3 linked regions of the Caenorhabditis elegans genome follow. The protein of the gene in region 1 interacts with the protein of each later gene in a pairwise test. Each region holds a gene or a part of one and is shown on either strand. Other genes may lie near its edges. The genes, in order: ufm-1, daf-3 and ufl-1.

The links.
Region 2: the proteins of ufm-1 (region 1) and daf-3 interact in a two-hybrid assay, tested with the Caenorhabditis elegans proteins (one study listed by BioGRID).
Region 3: the proteins of ufm-1 (region 1) and ufl-1 interact in a two-hybrid assay, tested with the Caenorhabditis elegans proteins (one study listed by BioGRID).

The regions. Positions count from the first base shown.
Region 1 is NC_003281.10:7,856,875-7,860,012, reverse strand, and holds ufm-1 (Ubiquitin-fold modifier 1), read right to left. Parts: upstream 1,035-3,138; 5' UTR 1,033-1,034; coding exon 944-1,032; intron 874-943; coding exon 678-873; 3' UTR 501-677; downstream 1-500. Other genes in the region: tomm-7 (Mitochondrial import receptor subunit TOM7 homolog), read right to left, coding at 1-3, 263-400; coq-5 (2-methoxy-6-polyprenyl-1,4-benzoquinol methylase, mitochondrial), read left to right, coding at 1,557-1,725, 1,855-2,117, 2,164-2,589; tag-307 (ApaG domain-containing protein), read left to right, coding at 2,771-2,862, 2,907-2,991, 3,038-3,123. UniProt on the Caenorhabditis elegans protein: Ubiquitin-like modifier which can be covalently attached via an isopeptide bond to substrate proteins as a monomer or a lysine-linked polymer.
Region 2 is NC_003284.9:819,257-827,337, reverse strand, and holds the start of daf-3 (Smad protein daf-3), read left to right. Parts: upstream 1-1,911; coding exon 1,912-1,936; intron 1,937-2,075; coding exon 2,076-2,264; intron 2,265-3,168; coding exon 3,169-3,270; intron 3,271-3,491; exon of another isoform or gene 3,492-3,496; coding exon of another isoform or gene 3,497-3,524; coding exon 3,525-3,680; intron 3,681-3,727; coding exon 3,728-3,879; intron 3,880-3,925; coding exon 3,926-4,165; intron 4,166-4,359; coding exon 4,360-4,494; intron 4,495-4,646; coding exon of another isoform or gene 4,647-4,655; coding exon 4,656-5,316; intron 5,317-6,606; coding exon 6,607-6,737; intron 6,738-6,916; coding exon 6,917-7,038; intron 7,039-7,082; coding exon 7,083-7,135; intron 7,136-7,467; coding exon 7,468-7,639; intron 7,640-7,842; coding exon 7,843-8,081. UniProt on the Caenorhabditis elegans protein: Transcriptional regulator and common SMAD (co-SMAD), required to regulate entry into a developmentally arrested larval state known as dauer, in response to harsh environmental conditions.
Region 3 is NC_003282.8:7,032,196-7,038,820, reverse strand, and holds ufl-1 (E3 UFM1-protein ligase 1 homolog), read left to right. Parts: upstream 1-1,961; coding exon 1,962-2,035; intron 2,036-2,230; coding exon 2,231-2,348; intron 2,349-2,349; exon of another isoform or gene 2,350-2,442; coding exon of another isoform or gene 2,443-2,577; intron 2,578-2,632; coding exon of another isoform or gene 2,633-2,692; exon of another isoform or gene 2,693-2,698; intron 2,699-3,190; coding exon 3,191-3,345; intron 3,346-3,500; coding exon 3,501-3,740; intron 3,741-3,789; coding exon 3,790-3,998; intron 3,999-4,043; coding exon 4,044-4,190; intron 4,191-4,246; coding exon 4,247-4,530; intron 4,531-4,571; coding exon 4,572-4,787; intron 4,788-4,833; coding exon 4,834-4,993; intron 4,994-5,044; coding exon 5,045-5,339; intron 5,340-5,620; coding exon 5,621-5,801; intron 5,802-5,850; coding exon 5,851-5,979; 3' UTR 5,980-6,125; downstream 6,126-6,625. Other genes in the region: cogc-2 (Conserved oligomeric Golgi complex subunit 2), read left to right, coding at 1-333, 380-783, 829-945, 993-1,241, 1,287-1,371, 1,469-1,738; C06G3.3 (uncharacterized protein), read right to left, coding at 2,443-2,577, 2,633-2,692; nabp-1 (OB domain-containing protein), read left to right, coding at 6,262-6,340, 6,390-6,449. UniProt on the Caenorhabditis elegans protein: E3 UFM1-protein ligase that mediates ufmylation of target proteins.

The sequences.
Region 1 (3,138 bases):
GATCTGAAATATGAATTCTTAAATCTTTGAATTGAAAGCATAGGTGTTTTTGGTAAAACTTAAACTTTTGACAAATAAATTAAAAAATAATTGGCAGCGTCTCGCATGCAATTGTTCTATTTACACAACGAGAAACTTGTAAAGAAAATGCGGTATCTATATAAATGTTTGAATCTTGTGTATTATGGGACGCATTTTTTATTTATTACGCTCTCTCGGAGACGTGATTTTAAAACTAAATGTTTCTTTTTCTAGTTTTTACCTGTCCATTTGGCATTGGCTCAGCGCCTTTCTTAAATCCAAGGTAGACCACAAACGGCACGAATCCCCATTGGATTGCAAATGTGGAAATATCGACTGTCTTACCGATGAAAGACTTGGTAGCTGGGGAGAGCTTCATCTTAAATAAAATAATATAAGACTAAAAGTAAAGTAGTTTTAAAAAAGTAAGATAAAATGCGGAAGAGCAACCAGTATTGATAAATTGATTGAACAAGTTTGAGAAAAAAGCTTCATAGCGTACTTTGGAAAGGGGAATTTCAATAAATTAATATTTAGAAGAATTTAGATATTCAAATCTGACTTAGCGAGTTTAGGATAGAAATGCACAGAGACATCACATTTTGTAAAAATAATTATGTCATAATACAGGAATGTAGACAACAATTGGCTTATGCTCAATGGCCGACGCGATCACGTGGAATCAGACGAAGTTCACTTCCGTGCTTCAAAAAAATGTTTCCGGCAGGTTGAGCTGGATTGACGCCAACTCCGTCGTTCGTAATGATTGCTGATGTAGCCGCAGGGACCTTGAATTCTTCAGCGGCAAACTTGAGAACGGCGGTGAATGGGGTACTTTCCGGCACGGAGAGGCTGAAAAATTAATGCATGACGCAAAACTCCAAATCAAAAGTAAACCGAAAATTTAAATATAAAAACTTACACCTTGAATGGGAGCTTCGGATCACTTGTTAGAGTGATTTTGAAGGTCACCTTGGAACCGGCAGTTGTTGCTGCTGTTCCACCCGACATTCCTGAAAATCTCTCGCATAAAATCAATAATAATCGTCCAGTTTGTTTGAAAAATTGTTTTTTAAAAAGTCGAACAAATTGATAAAGAAAAGGACATAACAGAAATGCACAAAATAACCTGAAAAACTGAAAAACAATAGGAGAGAAAAACTGGAAAAATGCCAAGTGTCTCTTACAAAACTCGGCCACTTGACGGAACCTAGGCCAGTGATGGCGTGATCAAGAACTATAATATAATTCAATTATTTTTCATATGTTAAAGTTCGAGTGAAATTTAAATGAAGATTGTAGTTCGAACGCTAGTATTTAGTGTACAAATACCACAAAAACGAGAAATACGTCTCTTCAAAATTCATTATGGAGTGATGGCCTAGGAATCTCCACGGGAAAATGCGGTAGAATATTTCTTGCAAGAACTTTCAGAGTATCGTGATTTTTATCACTTAATTTATCATTCAACTTCGCAATTAAGTTCTCAAAATTTTCTCATCTTTTGTCCGAATTAAAACTCATTTATTTTCAGAATGAAAGGAGCAACAAACTTATTTAAAAGCATGAGAAAACCTACGAACGTTGGAAATTTCCGGCAGTTTTCGGTGAATCAAGTCAATTCAGATAATAAACGGTCAGAGCCCGGAAAGAAAACACATTTTGGATTCACTGACGTTGATGAGGCAGAGAAGGAGCAGAAAGGTTAGCTGTTCGATTCAGAAACGTAAAAAAGCTGATAGCCACAAATAATAATCACAAAGTTCTCTACATAAAATAAGCCCTTTTCCAACACATCTATATAATTTACTGATACTATATGTCTTTTTTTAGTTCACCACGTCTTCGCAAACGTCGCGAAAAAGTACGATTTGATGAATGATGCAATGAGCATGGGAGTTCACCGATTATGGAAAGACTATTATGTTGGTGGCCTGCAAGTACCGTATAATGCGAAATGTCTGGATATGGCAGGAGGAACCGGGGATATCGCTTTCAGAATTCTCAGACATTCGCCTACCGCAAAAGTGACAGTTTCCGATATTAATCAACCAATGCTCGATGTTGGAAAAAAACGAGCGGAGAAGGAGAGAGATGTAATTGTTTTTGAAAAAATTCCATATCCTTAATGTATTACTTCAGATCCAACCATCTCGCGCGGAATGGGTATGCGCTAACGCCGAGCAAATGCCATTTGAGTCGAACACTTACGATCTGTTCACAATGTCCTTCGGAATCAGAAATTGTACACACCCTGAAAAGGTTGTTCGTGAAGCTTTTCGTGTACTCAAACCTGGAGGTCAACTTGCTATTTTGGAGTTCTCAGAAGTGAATTCTGCACTGAAACCAATTTACGATGCATACTCCTTCAATGTGATCCCGGTTCTTGGAGAAATTCTTGCCAGTGATCGTGCCAGTTATCAATATTTGGTTGAGAGTATTCGTAAATTCCCGAATCAAGACGAGTTTGCAAGAATAATTAGAGAAGAAGGCTTTAGTAATGTTCGATACGAGAATTTGACATTTGGAGTGTGCTCGATTCATAAGGGGATGAAACCAAGAAAATAATTTATTCCTGTTTGTTTGTTCTTTTTAAAATTTCATTTAATTCCATTTTTCTAGGTGATATTCAGTATTTTTCGTGTAGAATTTTTGCATAAATTTAATTAAAGTTGTTATATTTGTATTTCCTGACATCTATGATTCCGTGGTTTATTCCCGTTGTTACTCAAAAAATCTGAAAAAATTCATGTTTATTCCAACAATTTCAGATATGAAACTTCGAAGTGCTATTCAGCACAGTGTAAGAAACTTTTCCGCTGGGAAAGTCTTACTGTCAAGGTAATTTATAGATGATTTCAGACTCGATAATCATCATTTTTAAGATTCAGAAGCGCCACAACGCCAATATTGAAAGAAATTGGACTTCTCTTGCCATCAACTAATAAACCAACATTTGAAGCTGGACAAGTTGGTTGACTCAATCCAGTTATTTTGCAAAAATATTAAATTGCAGATTTTCATTCACAAAACATTTGCTTACAAAGGAGTCGTTGTTTGCTCTTTTCCATGTAGATTACATGAAAAAAGAAGTCAACAAAAGTAAGTAGCAATAAA
Region 2 (8,081 bases), on another chromosome or scaffold:
CATTTTAAAATTCCGTGTTCACAAGTTTAGAGTACAAGAAAAGTGTCTTCAATAAAAATTGAACTTTTTGTTTCTGCTGTGATATCTTTCACGATAAAATCTTTTGAAAAACCATCGCTTTTATAGTACTAGAGGTGTTAATAATTGACGGTTTCAAGGCTAAGATCACGCGATTCTTTAGTTGAATTTGTTTTTTGATTGTTTGGACTGTGAGATTGTAATTTTTTTAATCTTGTAAGTTTTTGTGCAATGAAAAATGCCTTAACGACTTTCATATAAATTTCTCTTATTCCTCTTGTTTAAAATGTCTACCACAAATTTTTAACAGTTATAACTAAATTGGGCAAAATTTGTTATTTCAACTTTACAAAAAAAATTTAACTTTTTTTGAATACTCTCTGTAGACGCGGTTTTTTTTTCAGAATTATGGTGGCCACCTTTTCAATAAAAAAAAATTATCTGAAAAATGCCATGGTCTCTCTGACCTTCGGCCCACATTGTATCTACGGATTTCATTCAAATATTTGCGGTTTTTTTTGACCGCTTGATCAAACTAATGAACTTTCATCAATGCAAACAAAATTTTTTCGCCAAAAGCAAATGACTAGCCAACTTTTTTTTTCTGTTTATGTTCAAATAGTTCAGTGGTTTCTTGTTAATTAATTATGACACAGTTTTGGTCACAAAATTTGAGCGTTTTTTTCGCTGAAACAATTGCACAAATCTAATACAAAACATTCTGATATCACACGCATCAATTTGGCGAGATTTCAAAAAATCAAACTGAGATGAGACCAGTGAAAACAAAAAATATATATGAGTCATCTAGAAAGTGATCTATACATTTTGTAGATCTTTTTTTAAAAATTGTGATGTTTGAGTACTTACAATGTAGGTCTACCACTTATTTTTTCTAGTTAGCTCACTATTTTATGCTTAGCATAGGTCAAACTACCCTTATAAAAAAAAACAATTATTTAGGTAAAAACGCTTGAAGTTCTTTTTTTCCTTTGTTTTGCACGAGAGGTTTTTTGTAAGTTTCTTATCAATCTCTTTTTTCAGTAAAAAAAGATCAAAACATCAAACCGAGGTCATGTGCACTCTCTTGTAGCTCTCTACTTGTTCCCTCATTATCTTATTCCCCCCGTCTTCTCACTTGTTGGTCCAACTACGCTCAACTTATCGATTCTTTGCAGCGAGCACTGCCACCTCAACACACTTTTAGCAATGAAATAGTGTGCTGGGCGAAGAGACGCAGACACACGTACGTAGTTTAAGAGTGAGCGAGATAGAGTGTGCGTAACGAGAAAAAGAGATAGAAGACGAAGAAACAAGTAGTGGTTTGGTTTCGATCTTTTTTTTTTAATTTGGGATATTTTTATTTTTATTTTCGAATTGTCAATTATTATTATTAATAGACTGTCAAAAATTACTTTTAATACCCCGTATTTGAACACGTTCTTTTTTTTATTTCTCTTAAATTGATTCCAAACAAGTTCCTATTAACACAATTCTTTTCAATTTTCTTTTCGAAATCATAATATTTTTTAAAAGTTAAATCTGTGGTTTTTTGGTTTTCCTTTCTGAATATGTTTTTACTGAAAACACCAAAAAATCTTGACAGTAGCTCAAAATATCAAGCTTTACAATTAAAGTTTTTCTCAACTTTTTTTTTCCCCTATAAACACAATCTCCCTTTATTCCCAAAAATACCACGAAACATGATATTTCAAAAAAAAAAGACAAACAGGTTTATACCACAGTTTGTACCTTTTATTGTCCATGCTGGTATTGTATTTCCTACTTCTTTGCCGCCCGGTTTTTCCTTGTTGTTTTAATTTTATTCCAAAACTCAATTTTACAGGTAATCAAATTGTAAAGGAAAAATATTAATAGTCAGAGTACACATAAATGGGTGATCATCATAATTTAACGGGTGAGTTTTTGTTTTATTGAAATTACTTTATTTTCGGAATGTTATTTAAAAAAAAGTTACAGTTTGAATAAAAAAACAGGATCTTCTGTTTCAGTTTTGAAAAAAAAACCAATTCCATAGTCCATATCCCAACTTACAGGCCTTCCCGGTACCTCCATCCCGCCACAGTTCAACTATTCTCAGCCCGGTACCAGCACCGGAGGGCCGCTTTATGGTGGAAAACCTTCTCATGGATTGGAAGATATTCCTGATGTAGAGGAATATGAGAGGAACCTGCTCGGGGCTGGAGCAGGTTTTAATCTGCTCAATGTAGGAAATATGGCTAATGGTGAGTTTAAATAGTAGCTATAGGAGTGAAGTGTTTGGAGTGTCGTGTTGGATATAAAATATCAATTAAAATAGATTCGAATTATTCAGAAAATCGCTTATTTTGGTAGTAGAACAAATGTTGATAAGTTAACAGACATCTTCTTTTTCCAATTAGTCTTGCACCCGAAGTGACTAGTTGGAAAATAGCCTTGCAGTTTCTATTAATTTTGTACATACTAATCTAGTACATTTCTAGAGAAAATTTTAGTATTTTAAGGTGGCAACGAGTAGTGCGGAACTCAAAATTCTCTTACATTCTCTTATATCTACTTACATTGAAAATTAATTTTGCACTCAAAAAATACCAAATAAAAAATAGGGTACTTGTTCCCGCTATTTTTGAAATTAATCAATTTTTCATTAATTTATCTATTTAAATTAAACTTGATATCTATTTTCTTCGTTGGGCTCAGGAATGGTAAATACGAGTTTTATAAGTTTTTATTTTATAAGTTAAAAAATTAATTTCTAAAATAGCGGAAGCATAATACACAAGTACCAAAAATAGTTATACATGCAATTTTGTCCATAGAATACTCTGAAACAACCTTGGTATTAGCTGCAAAACTGCAACATTATCAATTTAAAAAGGTATTTCTAATTGCAAATAAAATCGTAGCATTTCTAACAGTTGCCTAATTCTCGCTTTCTATTTTCAAATTTCAATTTTTTTTAAACTTTCAAGTAATGCAAACTCTGTAAAACACTGAAATCTAGTGAAAACCAAATCAATTTCCCTACGTGATTAGTAGTCGTGGTGTATGGTGGTTTGTGTTGGTTTGATATGCTTATTTTCCTTTTTGTTTTAAAAACCTTCCCCGTTTTGTTGCTTTTTAAATTTTACATTTCAAACTGAAATTCAGAATTTAAACCAATAATCACATTGGACACGAAACCACCTCGTGATGCCAACAAGTCATTGGCATTCAATGGCGGGTTGAAGCTAATCACTCCGAAAACTGAAGGTAAATAACGTCGAACATAGTAGTATAGCTTGAAAATAAAAAAAAACGTTGAATATGATGCATAAATGGTGCAATAGAAGGTTCAAAAGAATTTGTTGCCAACAAAAAATCTAAAATTTCAACACGAACCTCATGATGTTTACCGTCTGGCAGTCACTAACACACGTATTGATAAGCGAATTGTTGCCAAATTTCGTTGCTTATCAAACCTTATTTCTCTCTGACCATGAAGCTAATAGCAACTTCTCTTCTAGTTCCCGACGAGCACACACCGATGATGTCACCAGTGAATACAACTACAAAGATTCTACAACGGAGTGGTATTAAAATGGAAATCCCGCCATATTTGGATCCAGACAGTCAGGATGATGACCCGGAAGATGGTGTCAACTACCCGGATCCAGATTTATGTAAGTGGCAAAAAAAGTGTGAGCAAAAGAACTTAATATATTTTCAGTTGACACAAAAAACACAAATATGACCGAGTACGATTTGGATGTGTTGAAGCTTGGAAAACCAGCAGTAGATGAAGCACGGAAAAAGATCGAAGTTCCCGACGCTAGTGCGCCGCCAAACAAAATTGTAGAATATTTGATGTATTATAGAACGGTAAATACTTAAGTTTGTAGTACTGATTACAATATTGCATTTTCAGTTAAAAGAAAGTGAACTCATACAACTGAATGCGTATCGGACAAAACGAAATCGATTATCGTTGAACTTGGTCAAAAACAATATTGATCGAGAGTTCGACCAAAAAGCTTGCGAGTCCCTGGTGAAAAAATTGAAGGATAAGAAGAATGATCTCCAGAACCTGATTGATGTGGTTCTTTCAAAAGGTACAAAATATACCGGTTGCATTACAATTCCAAGGACACTTGATGGCCGGTTACAGGTGAGATCAAAAAAAATTTCTAGGACACATTTTGAGCCTATAGACATTAAATTATGATCTTTCAACGAACCTACGCTAGATAAATGATCCGACTTTTAAAAGTTTTGGAATTTATTTTGAGACGTTTCATTATGAAACTTGTATTAGACCAGCTTATGATATCAAAGTACCCACAAACTCCATACAAATTACAGGTCCACGGAAGAAAAGGTTTCCCTCACGTAGTCTATGGCAAACTGTGGAGGTTTAATGAAATGACAAAAAACGAAACGCGTCATGTGGACCACTGCAAGCACGCATTTGAAATGAAAAGTGACATGGTAGGTGAAGTAAGTGTGAATTGTTTCATTTTTCCTTTGATGTGATGTGGCACATGTTAGCTTCTTCCCTTATTCGGTTAACTCTGTGACCTTTGTTTGATTAAGTTGATTGCCTAATGTTGAGAAGATGTGACTTTTAAAAGTTTTAATATGAATATTAGGCCTTACAGGTATGCGTGAATCCCTATCACTACGAAATTGTCATTGGAACTATGATTGTTGGGCAGAGGGATCATGACAATCGAGATATGCCGCCGCCACATCAACGCTACCACACTCCAGGTCGGCAGGATCCAGTTGACGATATGAGTAGATTTATACCACCAGCTTCCATTCGTCCGCCTCCGATGAACATGCACACAAGGCCTCAGCCTATGCCTCAACAATTGCCTTCAGTTGGCGCAACGTTTGCCCATCCTCTCCCACATCAGGCGCCACATAACCCAGGGGTTTCACATCCGTACTCCATTGCTCCACAGACCCATTACCCGTTGAACATGAACCCAATTCCGCAAATGCCGCAAATGCCACAAATGCCACCACCTCTCCATCAGGGATATGGAATGAATGGGCCGAGTTGCTCTTCAGAAAACAACAATCCATTCCACCAAAATCACCATTATAATGATATTAGCCATCCAAATCACTATTCCTACGACTGTGGTCCGAACTTGTACGGGTTTCCAACTCCTTATCCGGATTTTCACCATCCTTTCAATCAGCAACCACACCAGCCGCCACAACTATCACAAAACCATACGTCCCAACAAGGCAGTCATCAACCAGGGCACCAAGGTCAGGTACCGAATGATCCACCAATTTCAAGACCAGGTACGTATGATTTAAAAAAAAAACAGTTGTTGTAAGGAGAAAAAGTTATTCTGACAGTAGGCATGAGGGTTGAACTAGAGGGACGCCGCAATTGCAAGAATTGTCGATTGCCGAAAATTTCCGACTTTGAACGGATGTCGGCAGGATGTGCCGGTCCGCTGTCAGGGTGGGCGGCAATTGCCGTTTGGCAATTTTTTTTGTCCACAAATTCAGCAAATCGCCGGAAATTTTCGATTCCGGCAATTAGCCGGTTTGCCGATTTGACGGAAATTTTAATTGAAGCAATTTGCCGATTTGCCGATTTGGCTGAAAAAATCGTTTGCCGCTCACCCCTGGTTTGGTGTTCCAGCCGAGAGCTAATAATTTTAGTCACTCAGCCACACAATACTGCCACCTATCAAGGCATGGATTTACAAAGGTTTAATATCTCCAGGTGTCAAACCAGAAACGGCAAAATATTATTTATGGGTACCTCATTATATAAAGGGGTAGAATATAAGTAGGCGGACAGGTGCATAGCCAATTCCCGCAGTTTAATCCTTTTTGGGATGTCCATTAACAGAGCCTTATTTGAATTTTTCTATTGGATTTTCGCCCTTTTCCGATGAAAACGAAGCGTTTTCAAACTTCACTAAAAGTGCAGCTTTTACAATTTTGACTAAATTGCTCTAGAATTAAGTATGAAAAAATTTTATGAATAGTATTGAGAGTTCATATTCTTTCGCAAAATAATCAAGAAATCTCTGCAGGAAATTTAATGTTAAGTTTAATCCTTATACATAAATTCTAATATAAGTACTTGATAATAACGAGAAAGGATGAAGCCCCTCAAATATTTGCCTTTTAAATTTGCACGTAGGTTTGAAAAGGCATCAATTTTGCAAATTTTTTTTTCGATAAACATTTTGCAGTTTTTTTATTTTAGATCTCATCAAAATATCTTCTTCTGGTAGACACATGTAATTTATTTGAAATTGATTGGAAAATGCCAACTTACAACATTTTGAAAAGGTGTCCTGCCAATTTCATATCAGTTATCAGATTTATTTTCTAAAAAAATAGCCAAGTTGAGACCACGAGGCGTATGATTATAGTTGTATAGTCGGTGATTTATTGCATAAAGAAGTTGGTTTAAAAGCAGTGATTTTGATTCTCAAAACTCATTTTTTTAGAGATTTTCTACAGCCGCTTTGCGAACAATTTTACTTTTCATCATACATGATACATTTTTTTGTCGCCTTTTCAGTTCATTCCTAAAATTTGTAAAACTTGAAGTAAACTCAATTACAGTGTTACAACCATCAACAGTCACCTTGGACGTGTTCCGTCGGTACTGTAGACAGACATTTGGAAATCGATTTTTTGAAGGAGAAAGTGAACAATCCGGCGCAATAATTCGGTCTAGTAACAAATTCATTGAAGTAAGTATTTCTAATATGTAGCTACTATGTACGTGTCACTCAAGATTGACAGCTTATCGCATATAAGTTGTGTCGATAAGGTGCCAAACAAAATATTGAATTTAATGTCACTTTTTGCTTTCTGAATCATCAAACAAACGATTTTTGTTTTTCATTCAAGAATATTGTGTTTTTTCTAGGAATTTGATTCGCCGATTTGTGGTGTGACAGTTGTTCGACCGCGGATGACAGACGGTGAGGTTTTGGAGAACATCATGCCGGAAGATGCACCATATCATGACATTTGCAAGTTCATTTTGAGGTTCGTTCTAGTTTTCATGGAATTAAAAGCCAAGTATTTTTTAGGCTCACATCAGAAAGTGTAACTTTCTCAGGAGAGGGGCCAGAAGTTAGTGATTGTAAGTTTCTTTTTTTTCTCTCTAAAGTTCACTTTAAAAAATCGTGTTAGTGATTGAAAACAAAATGAGTAATTATGTATTATACCCCGCCAACATAAAATTAAATTAAATTTTCATTCATAACTTTATTTAAATTAAACGTGATATGGATTATCTTCTTCAGATTTAGAAATGGTTATCATCAAGAAATCTTCCACACGTTTTCATGCTTTATTTCTTAAAAACTTTCATTTAAAACGACGGGGATATAATACATAAATACCCAAAAATGTAAAAGATCAAGTAAATTTAAAATGTTCACAACATAAAAAAAAACTGCTTGCTTTTTTCAGTGAACGAAAAATGGGGAACAATTGTGTACTATGAGAAAAATTTGCAAATTGGCGAGAAAAAATGTTCGAGAGGAAATTTCCACGTGGATGGCGGATTCATTTGCTCTGAGAATCGTTACAGTCTCGGACTTGAGCCAAATCCAATTAGAGAACCAGTGGCGTTTAAAGTTCGGTAAGTAAATCTGAAACTTATTGATATATTATAGAACATAGGTACAATTTTTTTTACAATCCAATTTTTTGGGCAATGACAGTATCAGGGTAACAATCCAATCCAAATTCGGAAATGTTGTTCGATAGTTTCCAGCTTATGAATTTTCTAACTAAAGAAATAACACAAATTTTTAAAGCTTTTGAACCATTGAAATGTTTCAGTAAAGCAATAGTGGATGGAATTCGCTTTTCCTACAAAAAAGACGGGAGTGTTTGGCTTCAAAACCGCATGAAGTACCCGGTATTTGTCACTTCTGGGTATCTCGACGAGCAATCAGGAGGCCTAAAGAAGGATAAAGTGCACAAAGTTTACGGATGTGCGTCTATCAAAACGTTTGGCTTCAACGTTTCCAAACAAATCATCAGAGACGCGCTTCTTTCCAAGCAAATGGCAACAATGT
Region 3 (6,625 bases), on another chromosome or scaffold:
CTATCTCAGCTGGAAGCGGTTCTCTGTGCAGAAGGAGTTCGAAGTGCCGCCGGTGATTGTCAAAATCTTCCTCTCATTTATTCAATTTTATCGTTAACGGAGAGTACGCATTCACTAACTGCCCTCTTGGTTTCTGATCTTTTGTATGCCGAATTTGTAAATGAGAAACACGACGAAAGTAATCAGTTGAAACTCTTGAAACAAGTCTTCGAAAGCGTCAAAAAAATGCGTGAAACTTGGGCTGAAAAAATGGGGACTGAACATTTTCGTGGAAACATCCGCCGTTTTCTGGACGAAACCCTTCTCACGTTCATTCTGACATTTATTGATAAGGTTTCCGTTCATAACTTTTTATATTCATAATTATTTGTATTTTCAGTGTATGGGAGCCGTCGCAGTCCCAAGTGACACACGACTTTTCCATGAATGTTTCTTGCTCACTCAAGAATTTATCGATAATTGGCCATCTTCTCATACCTGCCGTGCAATGCTTAAGTCGATCAGGGATAAATTCAATTTATTAGTTTATTTTAAATTAGAAACACATCGATTCGGAAAACAGTGCGATCAGCTGATGTCTCCCGAAATGTTTGCCGAGCCAGAAACTTCTGAAAATCGAGAAAACACTCCTCAGCTGCACTGCGGAGTTTCAAGAGCAATTATAACAGCAATTGAGCATGTGTGGAGTGATGATGTGTATCTTCCTCCTATTGTTGATAAATTATGGGATTTCACATTGAAGCTTTTGCTAAAGCATTTCTCGTGGAGTCAAACTATGAAAAAGTTAGATTAAAAGTTCTTCTTCACGAAAAATATTTTGTTTTCTAGTTATTTCATGGAAGAAAAAAGAGATTGGACTTCAATGGTTACTCTCCGCTCGGATACTGGAAATCTTCATCAATTGGTTTTCGATTTCGCGTTGGAGTCAATTTGGGGAAAATTTCAGTTCGTTTATTTAAATACTTACTTACATTTAGATATCATTTTTTCAGTGATATCACAGTGGATACCGCTCCATTCGGTCAATGCCTAACAAAGCATGGTCGATCAATTGATAGTCTTTGTGTTCAAATTGATGATAGTATTATTGAAATGTTCTCCGAAGTTCTTCATCAAGAAATTGCTCAAGTTTCCGATGTTCCTAAACAATACAGATGGACGAAGAAATCACCACCGACAACGCATTCCAAATATGTTGTTACAGCTATTGAAATGGTTGAGAATTTGAAAGAAAAACTATGGTAGTTTATATTGCTTCCACAAAATTTTGTACGTATTTTTTTCAGCTGCGAAGAACATCCTCACACCGATGAAATTGTTCGAAAAGTTAATCTTTCAGCATTCAATTATTTCGTGGGGAAAGGGAACGAGGTAACGTTTATTTTGGACACATGAGATAATTTTTTTTCCCGCTAAGTTTATAAACCACTCCAATTGATGCAAATTGCAACAAAATATTTGTTTTCAGGTGCTGGATAGTGTCGAAGCTACAGGATCTTCTTTATCCCGATTCAAACGGAAAACCACAACTGATTCTGGCTCCACGGTTACTGATGACGATAAAATCAAACAACAAATCTATCATGATGCTAAATATTTCCTGAGCTATGCGGAAAATCTTGTATTCTCACAAGCTGATCTCACCGGATTACAAGAAGTCGTCAATCGATTTGACAAAGATGCACGTTCGGCGATTGTACAAGAGAAAAATCAGAACGAAGAAGCGGGGAATGCTTGAATTAATTTTATGTGATTATTTATTTACATGTACATTTTATTTTAACAAATGGGTTGAAGTCTTTAAAATCGTCTATTGCCTTAATATGGGTTCATGGTATTGGAATAAAAAGTGTATAGCATCGTATTTGTGTTCACTTTCTTAAAAGTTCGGTTAAAAATCCATCGATTCATTTCTTTTTCTTTCTTTTTCATTTGATATATTAAAGTGGTAAATATTTCAGATGACTTCCTGGGCAGATATTCAGAAACTTGCATCAGATTTGCAGAGAGTTCAACTGTCACAATCATCTAAAAAGTGAGAAATATCATTGATTCTTGGCCATTTTATATATTTGATACTAAATGATAGCACATACACCATTTGCCCTAAAAACAACAAAAAATTAATAAGGTTTTAGTATCAAAAATTTAATTATTTATCTCATCTGTATTAACAATTTTTCACTAAAATTCTCAATTGTAGAATAATTTTAAAAAATTATTCTTTAAGGCTCTCCGAGGTGAATTGCATTGAAGTCCTTCAAAAACTTATCGCTTCTCATCGAATTGACGTGGTCTATACTAGAGATGGGCATAGTTATGTAACTAAAAACCACTTGGAAACTGAGGTGAGAGGGCAGAAATTTTTTATTCAAAAAAAAAAAATGAAAATAAAAGTAAAATATTGGTAGATGAGACCAATATGTAGTCGTTTCTTAAATTTCAGAACCCTGAATTTTTTCGAAAAATCTCATTATGAAATGGTATATTAAATGGAAGCCACCATTCTTTTTTGCCACGTGGAACTTCTTGGGGTGATGGAGAAACTGGAGAATTTGATGGTGACTCGTGTTGGCTCTGAAATTTCCTTTTTTTTAAAAGAATACTAACATTCCAAACAGCTTAGGCTCACTTGATCAGGTTTCTTTAATATAGACTTTGGCATTAGAATTGCGGGAGATGGATTGGGCATTGTTGAGTGTTTGAGAAAATAAAAATGTCTATCTATTCTTTCTTTTTTTTCTCACAAACTCCGCCTTTTTGTTGACCGCAATGAACTTTTATGTTTACACAAATGCAGAAATGTGAGTACAGAATAAACTGGAAGCAGCAAAACATGTGATCATGTTTTCATTTTGACAGCAGCCTTGGTTTTCGATTTGTTATTGAGGATAAATTTACGGTTAGGAATAAATATGAAAGAAGAACAATTAATTTTTATTATAAAGTATCACAGAAAAAAGTAGTTAAATAAATATTTGTAAGCAAAAATGTGTCATTTACGTTTTGAAAATCTGGAAAATATTATCTACACACGAATAATTACAGTAATCTTTAAAGGCGCGTTGCTCTTTGTGTATAAGATAATAATGTCGCTTCGAGACCGGCTACCGTATTTTGGCAGAATAATTGGAAAATTACACAGGCTGAATATTTTCCAAAGTTTCAAGTTCATCAATCCATTTTTCAGATAAAAAACGAGTGCATAGCCGCTGGAGGACGTGCTTCTCTCACTGATATCGCAGTTGCTCTTAACATAGATTTCGATCATATCGAGAAGACTTCGCGCTTGATTGTTTCGACTGATGATGAATTTACAATTTCGAATGCAGAGATATTCGCGACGTAGGTCAAGTTTATTCACGTGATTTAGATAGGCCTAAAGTTCGGAAAAGAACAAAGAAGAACACATTGACTTCATTATTGTTACGTGTCGATTGCAAATTGCAAATCGACAAAATCATTTGTTCATTGAACACTCAAAAAATATAAATTTTCAGTGAATACGTACATCGTCTTCGTAACGAATTGCGTACACTTCTCGATGAGCAAGGAAATCAAACAACTGCAGCACTCTGCAAGCACTGGAATCTATCATCGGAACTTTTGCAATCCTTGCTAATCGAAAAATTGGGATCTTCTGATTTTCAAGGAGTGGTTGATGGGGATACGATCTATACTTCTTCATTTTTGAATGCCAGACAATTGGTTCTACGCGCTATTCTGATTGCATTAACTAAGTGAGAATCTGTTTTCCATTGCCGTTCAAATAATGTTTTTTCCAAACAGAATCACTCCTATTTCAACTATCCAAAAACGAGTTGGTCTCACACCGAAACGATTTTGGATTGCGTTCGAAAATCTTCAATCTCTCGGCGAAATTCCTGGTACTTTAATCGGTTCTCGTACATCACCTTCCTGCTCGTATCGTCCAATGATGTACGATCATCTTGTGAAGTCGTGCGTTTTGAATCAATATAGACAGAATGAATTTTTAGGTATGATCATCTATTTGTTTATCTTTTAATTTCTTTAAATTCCAGAAATTTCAACTCTAAAAACTCTAGGAGTAGATGCAAAACCAGCTCTCGAAGAAGTTCTTGGATCATCTGAATTCAAAAAACTTGTCAGTATGAGATCTATGTTTATGACAAAAGAACTCATGGATCAATGTATTAATGCTGTTCAAGGTTTTTTGTTTAATTGTTTTGAATTTTATTACTTAATTGAATTTTTAAATTTTCAGAAGACTTACAAAAAAGCGGAATATCCGACGTGCATTTGGCTCTTCAATCTCTAAATCTTCCTCTAGATACTGCTGATGAGGATGAAATCGGGTCAAAAGTTGCAAATGTGGAAAAAGATTCGCATTTTGCAGAGGGTTTTGTGTTCAAGGGAGCAGTTTTGACTGAAGCTCTGCGTTCAATTGACAAATTGTTGGACGTCAGAGCACATGAGGAAGTTGATCGATTAGAAGCGGAGAAAAAGAAACAAGGCGGAGCCAAGGCAGCAGTGAAAGTTCAAGAAGAGGTATACAAATTGAATTGAAAAAAAACTATTTAATTTTTCAGACGGATGACTGGGGAGATGGAAAGAAAGGTGGAAAAGGAGGAAAGAAAAACGCAAAAAGTGTGAAAGGTGGTTCGAAATCGTCTGCTCCTTCAACTTCATCCAATTTGTCGGCGAATATTTCCATAAATAGTGAGGAACTGGAAATATGGCTTCGTGAAAGTCAATCAGTACCCGAAGAAATTCTTTCAGTAATTGTGGAAAAGTTGAATCAAGAGGTCCATCTCATGGATTCTTCAGAAATAAATAATTTTTATGTTTCAGACAACAACGCTACTTCGCAAAAAAGTTCAAGACATTCAAGCACATCAATTGGTTGCCAGCGTCGCTAATTCCAAAAAGTCATTGTCTGCAATCGGCGATAAGTGTAGACAACTTTACGATTCATTTAACACATTTGAGACGGCTACTTCCACTTTTGCTGGTAGAAAAAACTTTAAAACTGAATAGAAAAATAATTTATTTTGAATTTCAGATCCCCTTGGCTCAGATCTTCGGCAATATCTTCTGAAAACAGTTGGAAATGAAATTGCATTGGCGTTGCTTTCATATGTTATGGGAGTAGATAATGCACACCAATTGAAGGAAAAACAGCGAGAAGAAACAATTGAAAACCTTCCTGAAATGCTCAGAGATCCGATTCGATCAGTGTTTGCGTCGCTGAAATCTACAGATGATGATGCTTTGGATAAATTTCATGATGCTGTTTATAATTGTTCGGCTCCAAGTGCAACTTCGTTGGCACTGAAAAAAGTCGACAAGAAAGGAAGGTAAAATTATTTTCATAATTCTTTCCAAAAAATATCTAAAAATTATTTATAGTGAGTTAAAATTTTGGAAAAAAATAAGCTAAAATTTTAAATTTCAAAATTTGTCGCAGCTGCTGGAAACAGGGCTGAATTCGAATTTTTTGAAAAAAAAAGCGAAATACGAATAATTTTGCAATTTTTAAATATTATTGATCGAAATTGAAATTGTTTCACAATTTCAAGTATATTTTTTTTAGAAAAAAAGTGACATTTAAAATTTAAAAAAAAACAAATTTTTTCAGAGCCGAAGTTGGAGCTAAAATTACAGCGGAACTTCATGAGCAACTTTGTTCTCAAACGGAGCCAGCAACAACTCTTCTTCTGTCTGTTCTTTATATTTTAGCCAAGGCTGGACGCCCAACAACTGCCAGCGGAAAGTTTGTTTCTCAACTTGTTGCTCAAATTAAGGATTTATGCCCCGAGGTAATAGAATACTAAACATCTATATATCTATCAGAATATCTATTTCCAGAATGTCTTCGACCTACTTCAGGCATGCCAAAAAGGCGTAGTTACTTGCATCAAGAACAAGGGCGACGAAGTGGCCAAAGAAATGCTCGTTAATGATATTTCTAGTCTGAAACAGTCAATTATGCCATAATATCGAAATAATTCGTATAACTTGTTTAATTAATTTATTGAGAACTGAAATATGAATGTATTGCACGTGTTTTATTCTGTTAAAATTAAATCTGTAATTGTTTTTTTAGTCAGAAGGTAGCTTTCATAAACAGCCCAATTTCAATTACTTTTCAATAGATCGCAAATTTTGATGGTCGTTGTGCTCGGATCTCTTCTGCTGTAGATTTTGATTAATATTCACAGCAAAGTTTAATCCTCGAAAAACTTCATAACTCAATTTTTTTGAATTTATCTTCTTCAGATGTCCGGTGACATACCTCTCCACCAATTGCAGCCAAACATGAATTCGTTTTCGGTTACTGTAATTGTTCTAGATCCAGGTATCCTTTGATTTTCAGAAAGAATTTATAAAAATGAATAAATTTTAAGGGATTCATCGCAGAACACAGACGGGAACAATTATTTCAATGAAAGTGGCTGACGCATCGGGTAAGATCAGATAAACCGAAATTTAGCGATTTTTGCTCCAAAAAACGATTCGATTTTCAATCTCGGAACGACAATTTTTGTGGAGTTCGAAAAGGTATGCGCCTTTAAGCAGTACTGTAATTTAAATTTCCTTCGAATTTTCATAGTTTTTAGATAAAAATATATTTATTTATGGA